2 linked regions of the Drosophila melanogaster genome follow. The protein of the gene in region 1 interacts with the protein of each later gene in a pairwise test. Each region holds a gene or a part of one and is shown on either strand. Other genes may lie near its edges.

The links. The genes of interacting proteins can lie anywhere in the genome.
Region 2: the proteins of Lim1 (region 1) and Slip1 interact in a two-hybrid assay, tested with the Drosophila melanogaster proteins (one large-scale study listed by BioGRID).

What each region holds. Positions count from the first base shown.
Region 1 is NC_004354.4:8,801,342-8,809,028, forward strand, and holds the start of Lim1 (LIM homeobox 1), read right to left. Parts: upstream 4,464-7,687; 5' UTR 3,666-4,463; coding exon 3,623-3,665; intron 1-3,622.
Region 2 is NC_004353.4:660,464-670,056, forward strand, and holds Slip1 (SLo interacting protein 1), read left to right. Parts: upstream 1-3,157; 5' UTR 3,158-3,237; coding exon 3,238-3,279; intron 3,280-3,391; coding exon 3,392-3,877; intron 3,878-4,524; coding exon 4,525-4,842; intron 4,843-5,487; coding exon 5,488-6,469; intron 6,470-7,956; coding exon 7,957-8,111; intron 8,112-8,666; coding exon 8,667-8,987; 3' UTR 8,988-9,421; downstream 9,422-9,593. Other genes in the region: CG46466 (uncharacterized protein), read right to left, coding at 692-1,510. UniProt on the Drosophila melanogaster protein: May selectively reduce calcium-activated potassium channel (Slo) currents by reducing the number of Slo channels in the plasma membrane.

The DNA of each region.
Region 1 (7,687 bases):
TGTGAATTACTATTTCAGTTTTCGACCCAAAAGCGCTCCCAGTCGGGGAAAAAAGGGTCGGTCCGTGGGGTGGCGGGGGGACTTCTCTTTGCAGGGGTGGCGCTGCAAGGGGGCAGAGCTGCAAAAGGGGACACAGGCGACGACGTTGCCTTATACCATCGGCCAAGTTTCAGTTTCAGTTTGTGGCTCGGTTTCGGTTCGCTTTGGTTTGGGCCAAGCCCCGGATTGCAGAAATTGAAAAGTTCCCAACAGTTGGGGGGCCCCTCATAACTCTCATAGCACGGGACAGAAGACAGGGACAGAGGACAGGAACAGACACGGAGACAGAGACGGCGACAGGCGTCAGACAGAGATGGAGAGCGGTGACAAGAGCGAGAGGGGGCGATCAAATGGACTATGGTAAAGGATTTCATATTGTCCATATTCAAATAAAGGCATTGCAATTTCTCAACAATGGCAGGTTATCAGTTTAAGCCTAAACTACGTAAACAAATTAAAAACATAAAAGTATTTTAGATTTGTAATAATGGATTTCTTCATATAAAAACTGAAGGCACGCTAAGAAAAGATGTATAATTTAGTTTGCTGTTCTACAAAGTTCTAAAACCGCCTCGATTTTGTTTTATTAGACTCTTCGGCTGACTTCCGCCAATCTGCGTCTTGGATCGAGCGACTTTATTGTAATGACTTTTAATTTGAAAGTGGCGTTGATCGAGAAACGGGTTTCCAATTACCAATTTTGTGTGTGTGTGTGTGTGTGTTTCTTTGTTCCAGCCAGCGATAGTTTGGCGACCGACCACCGGAGAAGGCAGTGAAAATCGCACAATATATTGACAAGAAGAGAGGGTCTCAACGCCTCATTATGCATGGCAATTTATGGGCCGTGCCACGCCCTGGAACTAGACCTTAACCCCTCACTGTCGACTTGCAGTTTGAAGTTGCTAAATGCGGCAGCTGCATAAGCACGGCTGCCGTGTCTACGCTTCTTGCTTCTTGCCCCATAAATCAACGAAAGGATCCATAGAGCCGTTGATGGACAAGTTGAAGCTGCAGTTGAGTCCACGTTGCTGTCGTCGTAAATGTCCAACAGCGCAGGTCTAAAAACGGCTAGAAAAATCACATTTCCTTGGACAAAAGCTTCCACGGAAATAATGTTGCACAGAAACAGAGGAGCCACAGACCCCACGATCCCATCCTGCCTGCATACATTCGAGTATATACATATGTATGCATGAGCCTACTACACCCCATAATCGTAATCTTCGGGATCGTAATGATCTTCCTTTGTGGCCAGTCATAAATGTTGATGAACAGCAGCGCAAACTTTTGTCGAAGGCGTTGCCGGTCTGAGCTTTTGTTGCTGCTGCTGCTGCTGTTGCACGTTGCTGCTGTTGCACGTTGCTGTTGCTGCACGTTGCTGTTGCTGCATGTTGCTGCCGTGTTCGCTAGCAGCAACATAAAAATTGAAAAGATGCTGCCACCAAGATATATGCGAAGAAAAATGAGCAGTCGACCAGAGAAATGGCCGATGATATTGGTAATTGAACGACGAGGGGTTACCCTATTCTATTGAAGTTTTGAAAACTAAATTCCTTAAGAATAAACACATTACCAAAGATTCAACGACCTAAATTGGTATCCTATCTTAAGTATTTCCAATACATTTTTTCCATCTCATTTCAAAACCTTAACTATACCATAAAAAATTGGATATCTTTCCTGATTCCAAATTACTTTACGAACTTTCGAAAAAAGATACAGCTACTGCGCGGAAAAGTTATCTTCATTAAGCCGAGTTATATTCAGTGGTACTTTACTTTGTAGTTTTCCCCAACTAAATGCAAGTTAAGTTCATAACTGCCAACACTTAGTCATTAGCTAATGGGTATGTCTATGAGCGAGAAATAAAACAAAAACAAAAAAATCCAACCGAGAAACAGTAGAAGCAGGAAGAAGAAAGCTTGGCAGCTTTACGACTCCACTTGGCATCAGTCCGCCGTCGTAAGGTGGCCCACTGTGCGGGTCTACGGCTTCCTGAACATCCATTTTCCAGTCAAATGTCGACAGCTTTTGACTTGAACCGCCCCCGGAGCTGCAGGCCCCAAGCCCAAAAACCCCAACAGTTCTCTAGCCAATTTATGGGGGAAGTAAGGTGTCGGCCGCTGTATGTCCAATGTCAACAAGTTAAATGGAGAATTTGCAGTTGCAATTTCCATCGAACCTCACTGGTTCGAAAACGAAGCTATTGAGGATTTTAGAATATTTTTGAAAAATTTTTTGTGGTATAAAATACCTTACTACATTTTTACTAATATGTACTTAAATCATTTCTCATTTCATTTCTTTTGATAAGAATCCAAAATATACTCGAAAAGAGTGTTCGGTCTCTAAATCTCTGCAGATCCTTAATTTTGTAGTTTATAAATGTTTTTTATAGTTATTCAAATTGATGGGGAGCTACATACATACATATAAACGAAATATTCCTCACCAACTAATCACAAAATACAAAACTAGAGGGGAGCCTTCATTTCTGAACTTTTTGCTCCCTTTTTACTATTTTTTTTTTTTTTTTTTTTTTTTGTTCCTGACATTAAACAGTCAGCAAAAGTGAAAATTTGACAGAGAGCAAATGAAATAAAACAAAAGCCAAAAAAAATGAGATGGGGTAGAGGAAGAACGGCAGAAGAAGAAGCTGAAAAACTTTGACAACTGCGCAAAAGTTTTTCAGTCCAAAAACGAACGGGAAAACAAGAGGAGGAAAAACAAAACCGAAACAAAAACAGATGAACAAGAACTTCAAAAGCATACAAAATGGTAATGCGAAAAAGAGACGGCAGATGGACGACGGGGCATTAGACGCCCCTCTCCTCCTCGCCGGCGGTCCCCTAAAAACGGGAAGCAAGTTCAAAAGTGCAAAAACTTTGCTGCTGCCCAGCCGTCGCCATTAAAAACTCCTTGGCCATCTTAACCCATTGCGGGCAAGCGGTATTGTATTAACCCACCATCCTAGGGATCGCATTTCGCCGATCCTTCAAGGGGTTGACTTCCTTTTAAGGACTTTCGACCGCACTCGACCCTACTTTTCTTATGTCTTTCTACCACCAGTTGAAAATCTAAGACCACATCCCGTCGGCATAGCGATCAAGCCATTTTTAATAGATTCCACTTTTTTGTCAGTACATTTTTCGAAAATTCACTTCTTTGCCATCTTTTAAAAGTATTTTTGAAATGTGTCATTGGTGTCATTGATCACTCGTCTACAGATTTTATAAACAATTTAAATATTATACGAAGCCTACAAACAGGTGTTTTCATTCTATTTCGATAGAGGACATCATGAATATTACTTAATCTAGATTAGATGTAAACAACTTCTATTTTCGATCTGTAAAATGTTTCATCCTTGACTTCCCAATGATATTATTCTATAGAACTACAAGCACAACTCAAAGATTTAGTGCTGATTCTTGGATGAAATGATTTCGATTGCAGTATCCTATATGTGACTAACCTTAAGAACTTGCCTGTTTGGGATTCTCACTGCAAACCCCCCAGATTTTCTATGTTTTCCTGGACCCTTAACCGCTTAATGCCTAAATTCCCCAAAACGATCACTTACCGATATTGTGCTGGCTGGTGTGTAGTACCGCCCCGAACGCCATCAGATGGTCCTTGGGCGGGGGGGCGCGGCTACCGAGGGCGGCGAACCCGTCGCCCAGATATGACGCCAGTGCGACGGCCCTCAGGGGCGCTTTTGAGGCCTCGGTGAGAATTTTGTTGTCGAATATCTTGATGCCGGGGGGATGGAGTTTTTCTTTTTTTCGGGGGGGTTAAGAGTGACTGCTTTTTTGGGGGGGCCGTCAATGGGTTAAGTCCCGCGTGTGTGTGCGTATGTGAACGAGGCGCGCGTGGGTGTGGATATATGTGTGTGTGTGCGGGTGCGGAAGCGAGAGAGAGAGGGAGAGAAAGATAGGAGCGGGCCCCAACTGCACACTTAACGGTTAACGCACATAAAGACTGGGTGGCAAGGTGCGAGCAAGAGGGGGATAGCACGTGTGTGCCGGCGGCAAATTTGGCAAAACAAAAACAAAGCGCGAAATTCCGCTCCTCTTTGAGTTGAAGAAACTTCCTCCGCTTCTATTATGCCTTATATTCCAGTATTTCTTTAGTTGTTGTATATGAAATTGATTCTTTTCTTTTTAAACACTTTGCACTATCGGCTTTTCGGCGATTCCTTGGTTTTGTTGTATTTATGTGTTGTATATTCTTCTTGTTGTTCAAGATTCTCACTTGCAAAAAAATTTGAACAACGGCAAAAATTCTCGGTTTTCGATCTCGCGGCGGAACGGTAAACAGCTGACTAACGGTAAACGGCTGCGTTGGCTCCTTTTTCGAGCGTTGCCTCGTGCGCTTTGCGTTTTGCGGGCGCTTCACGCGAACGTCAAACAAAAACTGAAAACGGAAAACGGCAAACGCGACGGCAAAGCGGACGGCCCGATTACCGATAGCTGCCAGCCGAGCGCACACGCACACACACGAACGGCGAGCCGAAGCGGCGACGAATGGCGCGCCTGGGTGCGAGCGAGATGCTAGCAGGCGCATCGCTCGCACTCGTGCTACCGAATGCGGCAAGCAGTGCTCGCATATTTCGCCTGCGCCAGAGCGAGATGCAGCGAATGTTGAGCTGGGGCTGCTGCGACGCCGACTGCGCTGCTGGCGGCGCTGCAATGGAGTCGCAGGCTCTCTCGCTCTCGCTTCCGTCGCTTCTCCTGGCTCTCTCGTGTTGGGCATGAAGAAATCATATTATTCTTAAATAAAAAAATTGTTTTTCAAAACGTTTTCTAAAAAAATGGAAAAAATATGACTAGAATATTTGGTATGCATATCTAGATTATTATTAAAAATATTTTGGAAAAGGATATACAATTTCATAACAATTGGAAAAAAATATCAAGAAATCTTAATTTTTTTTCCTTTTTTAGGATTTAATTTAGGTGATTGTTCGATAATACACAATATAAGTTCTTTGAAAATTTTGATATATTTAGCATGATAACTAAATATTTAGTTAGCCTTACTAGATGCTTGTTAGATTCATAAGATTTTAAAAATCCAAAAATTCACTTTTTTTTTAAATTCTACACACATTCTTCTGTTGATCTTGGGCTTTTGATCCTTTTCTCAAGATTGGTGCTGGCGTTGTTCCTGTAAGGATATTTTTGGTTTTTGTTGCTGTTGTTGCCCTTCCATTTTGCCCATTGTTGTTGCAACACTGGCTCTCCTGCTCTCCAGCTCTCTTTTTTGCGGTTAGAGGGGGCGTTGCTAAGCAACTGGTTTTTTTATTGTTGCTTCATTGAGAGATGCGCAAAATGGCGCTCTCTCGCTCTCACGCTCTCCGGCCGTCGCGCCCTCTCGCTCACACTCGCTGGCCGGGCCAATGGCATTTTTCAAAGTGACATTTGCCCGCGTTTTGTCCCTTTCGCACTTGGCGGTGCTTGTGTGCGTGCCAAGGTAAAATGTCAAATGCTTTTCGACTGTCAACTGTTGGTCGCAAAAACTTTTTTCTTTCCTTCTTTTTTATTTTTAGTTGTTGTTTTTGTTCGGCTGCCTCTTCTGCAACTTGTGTTTGTCACTTGTCGTTAGCAGTGCGAAAGGGAGAGCACTAGTGGCGGGGGGTGGTGGGGGCGTTAGCTGGAGAGGGACGCCCCTTTGGCGTTTTAACGCACTGGAGACAGCAAGAAAAAAAAACGGAGGCGAAGAAAAAAAAGCAAAGAAAAAGTGTTAGATAAATTGCAAGTAACAAAAAATTAGTAGAAAAAAACATTTAAAATTGTGCAAAATATTATATCTTTTTCTTTTTCTTTAACAAATGCAATTTTAATAAGCTTTCGATTTAGATAAATCTATAGCAAGACACTTATCGTAAAAATAAACCAATACAAAAACCAATAAAAACCATAAGAAATAATATAGGATTCAAATTGCAAAAATGCCAAAGATCTAAACAAACAACAAGAAAAGACAAAACTGGATAAAATAAAAAAAATGCATAAAATAAGTGAGAGTAAAAGAGAACGCATTATAAAGGTCGGGGAGGAGGCTCCCGCTCTCATTCACTCCTTACGGTCTTCCCTCTCACTCACACTTCGATAGGAAGAAGAAGATGTTCGACACAAAATAAGGGGGCTGTGGTGGGTTAAAGAGCGCCGTTTGCTGTGTGCGTGGATGTGGGGTAGTCAAAAATATTGCACATTAGGGTGTTAAGCTGTGAAGTGCTTGCTTTTTGTTTTTGCGTGTGCGTGTCACTTTTCACTTGTTCTGCGCTATCGAAAAGTTATCGAAATCAGTTGATCTTTGACGGCCTTGAAAACTGCTTTGCCCCAAATTTAGTAAGAGCAAAAGGGATGAGGACATAATAGGAATGGAATAAAAAGGATATTGAAGCAAAAACACTTACATAACTACTCTCGAGGAATAAGATATTTATAATACACTTTTTGGCAAGCAACAAGTTATTTACATTCAAGACCCCAAAAGAACACAAGGAAAAGGAGAATGTCTTGGGTATAAGGAATAGAGGATAAGAGCCAAGCTGGGGATCCACCCACAGCACATTGTGATCCCTAATCTGTCATCTCATTCAGCCGCGCTCGTTACCTTTGGCTTTGCCTTAACATTACCTTTACCTTTGGCTTCTGTAACTGCTCAGGTTCCTCTGCTTCCTTTTTGCATCCCCTCTAGCTTCACTTGGCGTCCTGTCCTCATCTCCACTTAACCCACCTCCTTCCTTCCACCTTTGCCAACAAATGTCAGTTATCAAAAAATCGCAGTAGCAACGAAAAACAAGCAGGAGCACAACAGTTTTAAAACAATGTTCTTGAATACTCTTTCTGAAATCAAATGAACCCCATTTAACGAATAATTGTTCAAATCCAAGCCACAGTCACTATTACTTTAGATATTACTTTAGATGTCGGTTTTAAAGGAAAAATAAATATTTTAAATCTGGCCAGGTACCAAAATATTCGGACTTTTGGTGAGGGGATTGCAAAAAAAAAACGACTACTCGACCGAAAACAAACAAGTAGCGGTAAGAAAATGTTGGACAGGCCGTGATAAGCCGCAGCTAACTGCCACGCCCACACTGCAGAAACAGCACCGCCCACCTAAATGGGGCGGCAGTGGGGGTGGCAGGTCGATGGCCACAACAAAATCAACAATAAAAGCAAGAAAATCATGAAAGGCAAGAAAAGCGCGACGAACTTCGCGACGCGCCATAAACTTTTGGCAGGCGATATTTTTGGGGGCCGGGGTGTACAGCTGCGGTCAAGAGAATAGTGGCTGAAAAAAAAAAAAAAAATTACAAATTTTACAAAATTTGTGAAAATATTGTTAAATACTTTGTTTTTGAATATATCTTCGATATCTGTGCATTCTAAGCTTTATGATAATTTTGATTCCTCCTAACCTTAAATTACTATTTATTTATTGCGAAAAATGATTTGGATTCTGACAACAACGAAGAACGCGGCTCCCAAGTTTTGGGAGTCAAGTGGTTGCCCCGCCACGCCCACTTGCCCCTCCCATTCCGCCCCCTAAATGCGACCAGTCACGAACTGAACAAACAGCAAACGGACGTCGCCATGTCACGAAAAGAAAGAGGATTTACAAGGAGGGGAGCGGC
Region 2 (9,593 bases), on another chromosome or scaffold:
TTTTAATGACAAAGCGCTTGTTTTCGAAAGATTACGCACACAAAAACATTCACTACTCGTGCTAATTCATTTTAACACACGCAATTTAAATAAAAAGTAACTATACGATGCTCTCACTCGCACTTCGCCTGGATCACGACAGACTCTTCTAGGTAGATGTCCGATATTTTCTTAAACTAATCGATATTAATCAATCTTAGGTAATACCCAGTTTACACAACTGCCTAAAATAAGTGCTGTGACCCGTTCACATCGAAGAGGTCAGATAGAGGGTACACAACAGAAGGATTAATTGATTAAAATAAATTAGCTGATATAATTTAAATTAATTCAAAACAGAGCTGTTTCAAACAAGTTCCAACTCATATAACTCTCGACCATTTCTAACAATTCAAATGAAATTTAAGGGATTAAAACAATACAGTGAGATAACATATGCATTAATAAATTTTAAAGCTTGAATGCCTTATTGAAGTGAGAATTGAAACAGGTTTGGGCAATCCATTAAATTCATAACTTATTTTATTAAGTCTATGTTAAAAAAGAATCCTTAATAATGTAATGTATAAAGTTTGGACTTACGACCGATTAATATTAATGTGTATGTTTTGGTGTTTTGCCTTGAAATCAAATGAAATTATGTTCTAAAATATCGGCTCTCCTTCGACTATCTATGAGATTTAAATAGGTTTTACCAATTGCTAAGAAAATCGAAACCCTTAGGCATTTTTAGTTCAGGGGATAACAGTTTTGTATTTTCGTCTTGACGTGCATCTTTAAATTCGTTTTCATAATCAGACAAGTCGTTTAACACACTGTTTTTCGATCCACATTTAACGAGCAGTTGCATTTTCTCATTAGATTCAATACATTCATCAATATAAACAGTTTGGGTTTTTGAGAAGTTTTCATGAATGGAAATCTTTCTTTCCGTTGTGTTAACGCCGGTTTTATCATTAGAATTAAGGTGGAGAATTGGTATTTTTTTATTGGTTGAATCTTTTGTCTTCAATTTTAAATGAATGGCCTTTTTTACGCCTAATGGAGTTTCAACAAGACAGATATCATCAAATTCTTTTAATACTATGTTAATTTGTGATTTGGTTCGATAAGAAAATGGAAACGAATGTTCATCTTGAAAATCTCCGGTGTTTTCATCGCGTAATATTTTTAAACCAACGTTTTGATAATTATATGTGTGTAAATCTTGGCCGTTATATAAATATACAATGTCTCTGAAACAAAATTTACGGTAATCATTTTTACTAACTTCAGTATTTTCGTACGGATCCTGTGCCGCATAGTTTTCTTTAGTCTTATGACAGTACTTAGAAAATATAACAGGATCTATTAATTGGTTATTCAATATTTTTTCCTGTTCGTTTAAAGTCAATTTAAGCCAAGCGTCTTGGTTGTATGTAGATTTAACTTTATTGAGATCGCAGGTAATTTTTTCGGAAATTGAATTAAGACGTGAGAAGTATGACTGAGCCTCATCGTGTGTTGTCATTTTTGATCTGAAAATAAATATGGTTTGCTGTATTAAATGGTTAGCGGAACGTTAGATTCTATCATAAAATCGAATAATTATATTAACCTGAATTCTTGAAAAAGTATTTATAATTCTTTTATACTCTTCACTCGTAAAGTAAGGGGGTTATTAAAAATTAAAAAAGAACATAACAGGTGAACAAAAAGGTTTCCGAGACTAGTTAATGAACTTCGGGATTTGGACACTATATGATGTCCAAACCGAAAACAAATGCAATAAAAAAGAAATATATAACCTTAGAATCAAATTAGCCCACCTCTCCTTTATTTACATTACTAATTTTTGGTAGCCAGAGGAGTGCTTCCCGACATTACAACATTCATAGGGGCAGACGGAAGTATCAACTCGGATGGGTGTTTCTTTCTAATCTAGACACATACATATGTATGTATATACTACATAGGGTTTATGTGTGTTTAAATTGATATGGGCGTTACAGTTTTGAACGATTTGTAGGTATTTGGTTAAAATTGTTTTTGGCAGTTTTTGGGCGGTTCGTGGTCGTTAGAACAAGCGTGTAAACATTTGGAAACATGTGAGTATAAAATGGGATCGATGCGTTCCTATTACATACATATACTTTCTATGATCGGAGACGGTTTCTTCTACCAATTACATACATTGCAGCGAATCTAATACATATACGATTTTACTTTACAAGTAATGGGTATAATATAGGAAATAAACAAAAATCGGCAAGCCGATTTTTATATGCTTATACTGAATAATATCTATTTATGATCACGAACAGAAAAAATTTGACTTTTCCAAGGCATATGGTCGAAAACTGTTCAATACCGAGATAAAACACTTTCTAACAAAAAAGAAGATATGTATGTATGTTCCCCTTTGTCGAGGTCTTTCTGCCATACATGTAGTATGCATAGTATCGGCAACAGAAAGGCTTTTAGAAAGATTTAGTGAGAAACGGGCGTACGGATATGGCTATGTCCACCTGGCTCTTGACACTTCACATTATTTAGGATATTTTTACTGAAGTTTAAATTTACTATTTAAATAATAAAAATTACTGCGATTTCCCGTTTTAACCATCATACAACCTTAAATACGAATTGATCCGGCTATTTAAGCTCTATATAATTGTATATGTGTATGCTTTAAGAAATACGCATCCATCGATAGATCAAGATAAAAGTATCGGAAATAAATTATTATATTGTGTTCACACAGTTAAGTCACTAAGGCCATTTCCATTTCATTTACATAGCACAAAATTGATACGAAACGACAAGAACTTCAATGACAGGTGCGTATCAAACAATAGTGGTTACAAAAACCATTCTATAGCAACTCTTTTTAGTCAAGGGGCACCTCCGCTTTTCGTGGTTATCAATGCCTAAGCCATTGAAATATTATATTATATTATCAATTTCATTACATCAACTTCAACTTTATATTCAACAATATGAATTGAAAATTGGTACAGTCTGAAAATATGCGTTTATACGAGCGGATAATTTTAATTGCTATGATTTCTCAATCCGTTAACGGTTTCCATTCCGTTGCGAGTTATTAAACGATTACTTAAGAGAATCGATTACAATTTTTATCAAAAAGAATACGTAAATGATATAAATGAAAACAAAAGGTTTGGCCACACTTTCGAAAAAATATGTATACAATTAAATGAAAATAAATATGAGTTTTGGATTTTAAGCATCACTATGAGTATTGCCGACGTGGAGTACGAATATGTTGTGTTAAAAGTAAGTTCAATATAAAGTAGGACTAAGAACCGAGTTCTCGTTTTACCATAAATAGTTCCATTCGTGTGAAATCTGTTTTTTAGCGTTTCAAAATGCACATATTCTGTTTCAGATAAACGGTTACGATATTAGTCATTTGTCGAGGTATGAAGCGGTTCAAAAGTTCCTTCAATCTAAAGAAACCCTTGTCGTAGAAATACGCAGACAGAAACACAATGCATTAGATTTAGAATTAAAACATGGCTCCAATGCCAAAATATCAAAAGTGGACAATCCCGGAGAACTTTCTGTCCTAACTGACAAGTCAGCAGAAGGGACGATCACAGCTGCCAGTGCCTCTCAACAAATAAATTGCCCATCTTCAACATCGTTGAAAGAAATCGAGACGAAAACTCCTGTGGTTTTAACTCTTCGGGCTAGAAGTCATGAGGATCGTTTGGGAAGTCTACAAGCCGCATCGAAGGAAACTCAAACCCAATCTGTCGTTGGTACGGACGTTTTAAAGGATAACGATTTGGTTAACACAATTACCGACAACTTCATAGAGCATGAACACCATTTGTTCGAACAATGCCTGGAACCGGAAATCGACATTGAGGTATTTACCATACATTACTACAGCAGTACCACAAAACTGTTCTGGTCTGTCTTCGCGATGTGCGATGGCGACTTCTCTATACACTTAAGACCCATTCTATGCTTATTTAATGCAAATACAAATTGCGTTTGTATGAGCATTTGTGTAGCGTTTGCTTGGGCTGCGGGCCCACATTCAACCCTTGCCCTTGCGAAGTGCAGAAATTTTAAATGCTCATATTCTCCATATGTACATACATATGTATGTTGCAGTTTTGTTATATTCGTTGAGGAGAGACTATATACCAACACAAGCCATCTGTAGACTTTGAATGATCGAGCGGTCGGACGGGCATAACAGTTATTATTAATATTCACAAAGTTTATTATTAAAATTTTTTGGAGTTGTGTGTACACTGTCACTTGCTAAGTATTTGCACACAATGATATTTAAACAAATTTCGAGAAAGCAAAAAATATCAAATAAAATAAATAAAAATTTTTGGAAGGTATAAGGTGATTGCCTTTTGTACGCCAGTGGTTTATTTACTCTCGCCGTCTACATAAATATTATTGAAACCGATGTATTTATAACAGATCCTAAAACTGTCAGTTGCTTAGATATGTGTGTTGGGATTCAAAATAATAGTATTTTTTTATAATCAACAGGAAGTAACGCTTGTTAAAGGTGTTGAACAGTCAAGCAGCAATCAAATCGGGCTCATTGTTACCTCCTCCGGAATTCAGCAATCAAGTACCGACACGAATAAAGGTGACATACTAGGTAACGTTTTAGAACATAGTGAGGATGTGTTCATCAGTGGTGTACAACCGGAAAGTATAGCCTATCGTGATGGGCGCCTGCGACAGGGGGATCAGATTCTTCGTATTAACGGCTTGGATGTTAAAAACCAGGAGGAGTTAGAAACTCAGATAGCCAGGAGTAGTACATCAGTAACGCTACTAGTTAGTCGAATTCTATACCCTGTAAGTCGAAATTTCTAATACCAAAAAAAAATTCCCAAATAAACACTTAGTTCATAACTATAGTAAGGGGTTATACCACTGTAGAATTTAATACGCTAAAAAATGCGCACCATTAAATTAAAAAAAATATTGTTCGTTCTGGTTTTTAATTTAGATCCGATTTCGACTTGTTGCCTCAGAGTAACCGCCTTCAATCTCGTAACTTAAAATCATGGTTTTGTTTGGAGTATATCTTTATATATATATTTACCTTACGGTCAAATTCGCATACGCTTACTAACGATTTTCCATGAATCCTCAAACTCGTTTTATAAAATATGTGCTTAACCAGGTTAGTAATACTATTAATACCCACATTCCATATAGATGAGATGGGTGTTGGGACTATAAAGTCCATAGCGATATGTATAATATTTGAAAAGTCAATAATGTTAATGGTAAATATTTTTGTGATTGTATTCTTAAAACAGACCGCAGTGGGAGTTGAGAATTTGTAGAAAAATATTATTTATTTATCCAAAATAAGTGCCTACAGTTGTGTGACCCATTGATAACCGATAAAACCATTTTTATTAATCAAAGTATAAAGTTTAAAACTGTAAATATTTTAACTAGCTGCAATATTTTGGAACAAATTTTTTATAGGAAGACGATGATGACGAAGATATACATTTTGAGTATGCTAATACATTTCTGCCAGATGACTATACAAATGTAGTGGATAAATTGGATAAGGTTTTGTTAACTCACGTCAAGTCTTTGGAAGAACTATCCAATAAATCCGCCATGCAATCTGACGAATGCTATCACATACCAGAAAAGAACTCATCTGATTCAAACGTTAAAATATCTTCTTTGGCGAAAAATATCATTGAGCAATCTACCAAGTCCTGTAGTAAAATAAAGCTTCGACCGAATGCAAACTTGGATTATAAAAAAAAATTCAATCTACCTTTAAGCCAAGAAGAAGTTCATCTGCAATATGAGTACGATGAAAGCGAGCACATTTACGAAACCATTCCAGAAGATTCTGAAAGTGAACCAGTGTATTGTTCACCGTACCAACGTTCAAACGACAAGACGTCAATAGGTTGTTCATCTCCAATAGCATCGAGACCGGCCGAATCATTAGAAAGAACAATGCAACAACAAACTCAAAGAGTCGCCCAGTGGTTGGGCTTGAAGCCACAATACCAGAAAACTAGACAAACTCTAGTTGGTCGACCCCCGCCGTTGAAATTAGTACAGCAACCTACTTGTAGTCGTGTTTTTACATTGCGTAGCACCTTAACCAACACAAGCGCATCCAGCAGTAGTGGAGTGGCATACAGCTCTTATGGACAAAATAATGTTGTTACAGGGAACGCCGCGGCTCCTGGCGAAGAGGTCGATAACTCCTCAAGTGCCTACAACACTGGTGATTCTAATAATAGCGCCTCCCCCCATCAAAATACTACAAATCCTGATGAAGCCATCGCCACTGGTCGCAAGCTAGATAGTACTGTTATTGATAGCCCCAATGATCATTTGGATGCCACAGGTGTAAGCACTATGTTGCTATTACCATTCGGCAAGTCTGGCCGTATTGGTCTCTGCTCTTCCAATCTGCCTACAGCGTATGTCAGCGGTATGCATAACAATTATATTTTAGTTGCAGATAGTACGTAGCGTCTGACATATCAGACGTGCTCCACTTTAAAAGCTCTTCACCTTTTACTTTTTAAACTTTGAATTAAATGGTACTAGGCTCGTTAAAAAGCTAGTAAACGGTTGAAGAAAATTTCAAACCCTGTAAAGTATAAATTCTTGATTACTAGACGAGTCTATCTGGTCATGTCCCTCTGTCCTTACGGATGTCGAGATGTCGGTAGATATAAAAGCTAGAAAGTTGAAACTAAAGGCTTATATTTTAACTGGAAAAGTCAATATGTTAATGATAAATATTTTTCCGATTGGATTCAACAAAAAGAGACGCAGTGTAGGTTGAGGAATTGTAGACAAAATATTATTTATCTATCGAAAATAAGTGCCTACAGTTGTGTTAACCATTGAGAATCGATAGAAACCATTTTTATTAATCAAAGTATAAAATTCAAAGGTGTAAATGGTTTAACAAATTTTTATAGGACGACGATGATGTCGAAGATATACATTTTGAGTATGCTAATACATTTTTGCCAGATGACTATACAAATGTAGTGGATGAACTTGATAAGATTTTCTTAACTTACGTCCGCTATTCAATCTGACAAATGCTATCATATACCACCAAAAAAACTCATCTGACTAAAATGTTAAAATATCTTTATTGGCGAAAAATATCATTGAGCAATCTAACAAGTCGTGTAGTAAAATAAAGCTTCGACCGAATGCAAACTTGGATTATAGAAAAAGCTTCAATCAATCTTTAAGCCAAAAATAAGTAAATCTGCAATGTGATTGCGCGCACACCTATGAGGCCATTCCATAAGATTCTGAAAGTGAACCAGTACCAACGTTCAAACAATAAGACGTAAATATATATTATTGATTACTAGACGAGTCTGTCTGGCCATGCCCCTGTGTCCTTAAAAACGTCGAGATCTCGGAAGCTATAAAAGTTATAAAGTTGGGACAGCATGCAGTGATTCTCTCTATCGATATGTCAAAAAATTTGGACCCGCCCATTTTAACGCCATTTTAGAGAATGCTATAGTCAAGTTCCCCGACTATCAGATACCCGTTACTCAGCTAGTGTAAATGCGAACGCGAAATTTCATAATTTGTCTGGGATATCAATAAATATGGGGGAATACAATAAGAAAAAATTTTAAAATTTTTCAAAAGTGTGGGCGTGCATAGACGTTCATGTCCAGAACGACTCGCCTATTGACACTGATCAAGAATATATGTATATACTTTATATGGTTGAAACGCTTTCTTCTACCTGTTAGATACTTTTCTCCACGGGTATAAAACGATTTATCATTTTTGCCTTGATAAAAAAAATTCTGAAGCAATTAACATTTTCAAATTTGTGTAACATTTAACTGAACGTCTTATTATAAGATTTACAAACTGAAAACGATATATCGTGAACTTCATTTAATTACCATTAACATTATTCCACTTCAGAGCGGTATACCAACGTTGGGTCTGAAAATGAAATTCATCCACTTAAAAGCGACATTGAAATACTAAGAGTTAAACCAACTGATGATTCCTATAGTCATTGTCCACAGTTTAACGCCCCAAATTTGAGTAGTTACCACTTTGTTAGTAGTCAAGAGGTAAGTACAAGTTTAATGTATGTGCATATGGGGTAAAATGGTATTAGTAGGGGATTAAAACGAATGGATGACAATGATTTTAACAGTTGACGGTTAAATCTAAGATTTCATTTGAATGTTACACATCTTAATGAATTAAGTATCATCCATTGAAAATATTTTAATAATTTTCTTATAAGTGCATTTACTGAACGTTTTCTATGGGTTTAAAATTTAAAACATGTAAGGATCAACAGGTCAGGAAAATACATATTTTTACCACTATTTACTACTTTATTCAACTTTTTTCTAAGATCATTCCAATAAGAGATCACATGAAAGGAGGTTTTAAATCGATTTTTAGTGAAAAATTATGCATCAAAAAAAGAACAATTCTAAAAACATTGTACATTTTCAATAAAATTCAAAGGGCAAATATACCATATAAGTAGGCTTGCAAATCTATTAAATCTATTAGTATATACATGTATCTCATATTCCATCTCTCTCATATTCCATTGAATATATTTTTTTGCCCATATTCTATAAATAAAAGTTTTGATTACTTTTGTAAAGGTTGCAAACAGATGTCATATTTCAACAAGCTTACAAAAAAATGCTACTTTGCTTAACGGTGAAAGTGCTGAGGAAATACCCATGGTATGGAAGGTTAAAAGGCGACCAGATGGAACGCGGTACATAGTAAAACGGCCAGTACGTAATCGACCCCAAGTTGCATTGCGGAAAAATATGCGTTACAACGAGGTTACCACGACGGAAGACGATACAATATCTGAAGTAAAAATAGGTCGTTATTGGACAAAAGAAGAACGAAAGCGGCATATCGAACGAGCTCGAGAGAAGAGACATCATCAGACGCAGCAACAGCAACAATAGCCACAGTAACATTTTCCTTTTGTACCATTTAAAACTTACATAGCTTTAACAACAGTCTTAAGAACACTAATTGGATTTACTGTCGAACAATTTTATTTGATTGTTATGGTCGTCATCAAAACTTAAAGAGATTATCAAGGTGCAAAAACAAGATTTGTCATAATTCCACTTTAAAATTTTATAATCTAACATTTTTTGGTGTGTCCAAATTGAATTAAAACGTTGTTTTGGGGGTCGTTATAAAATTCAAAAACTGTTCCTATACAAGTTATTTGTTAAAATAATCCCTACAATGCGTATAGTCTTCGTTGATGCTGCCACGATTATTTACGGCATATTACACATGTAATTAATGAAATACTTTCAGTTAGGTATAACATAATAATGCAAGTAATTCTAAGGTATTGTTTATCTAAAATAAAGAAATCGTGAACAAAAACGTTGCTTTCAAATTATCTCATCTATCGAGGAACTCGACTATAGCGATTTCTCTTATTTTGATTTCAAAATAAAATAATAGCTTTCCAGGTCAAATACCTATTTACCAAAACTTCTTTTAACTTCTTTTTGAAATTTAAACTCATTTTAATACCCGTAGAGTAAAAG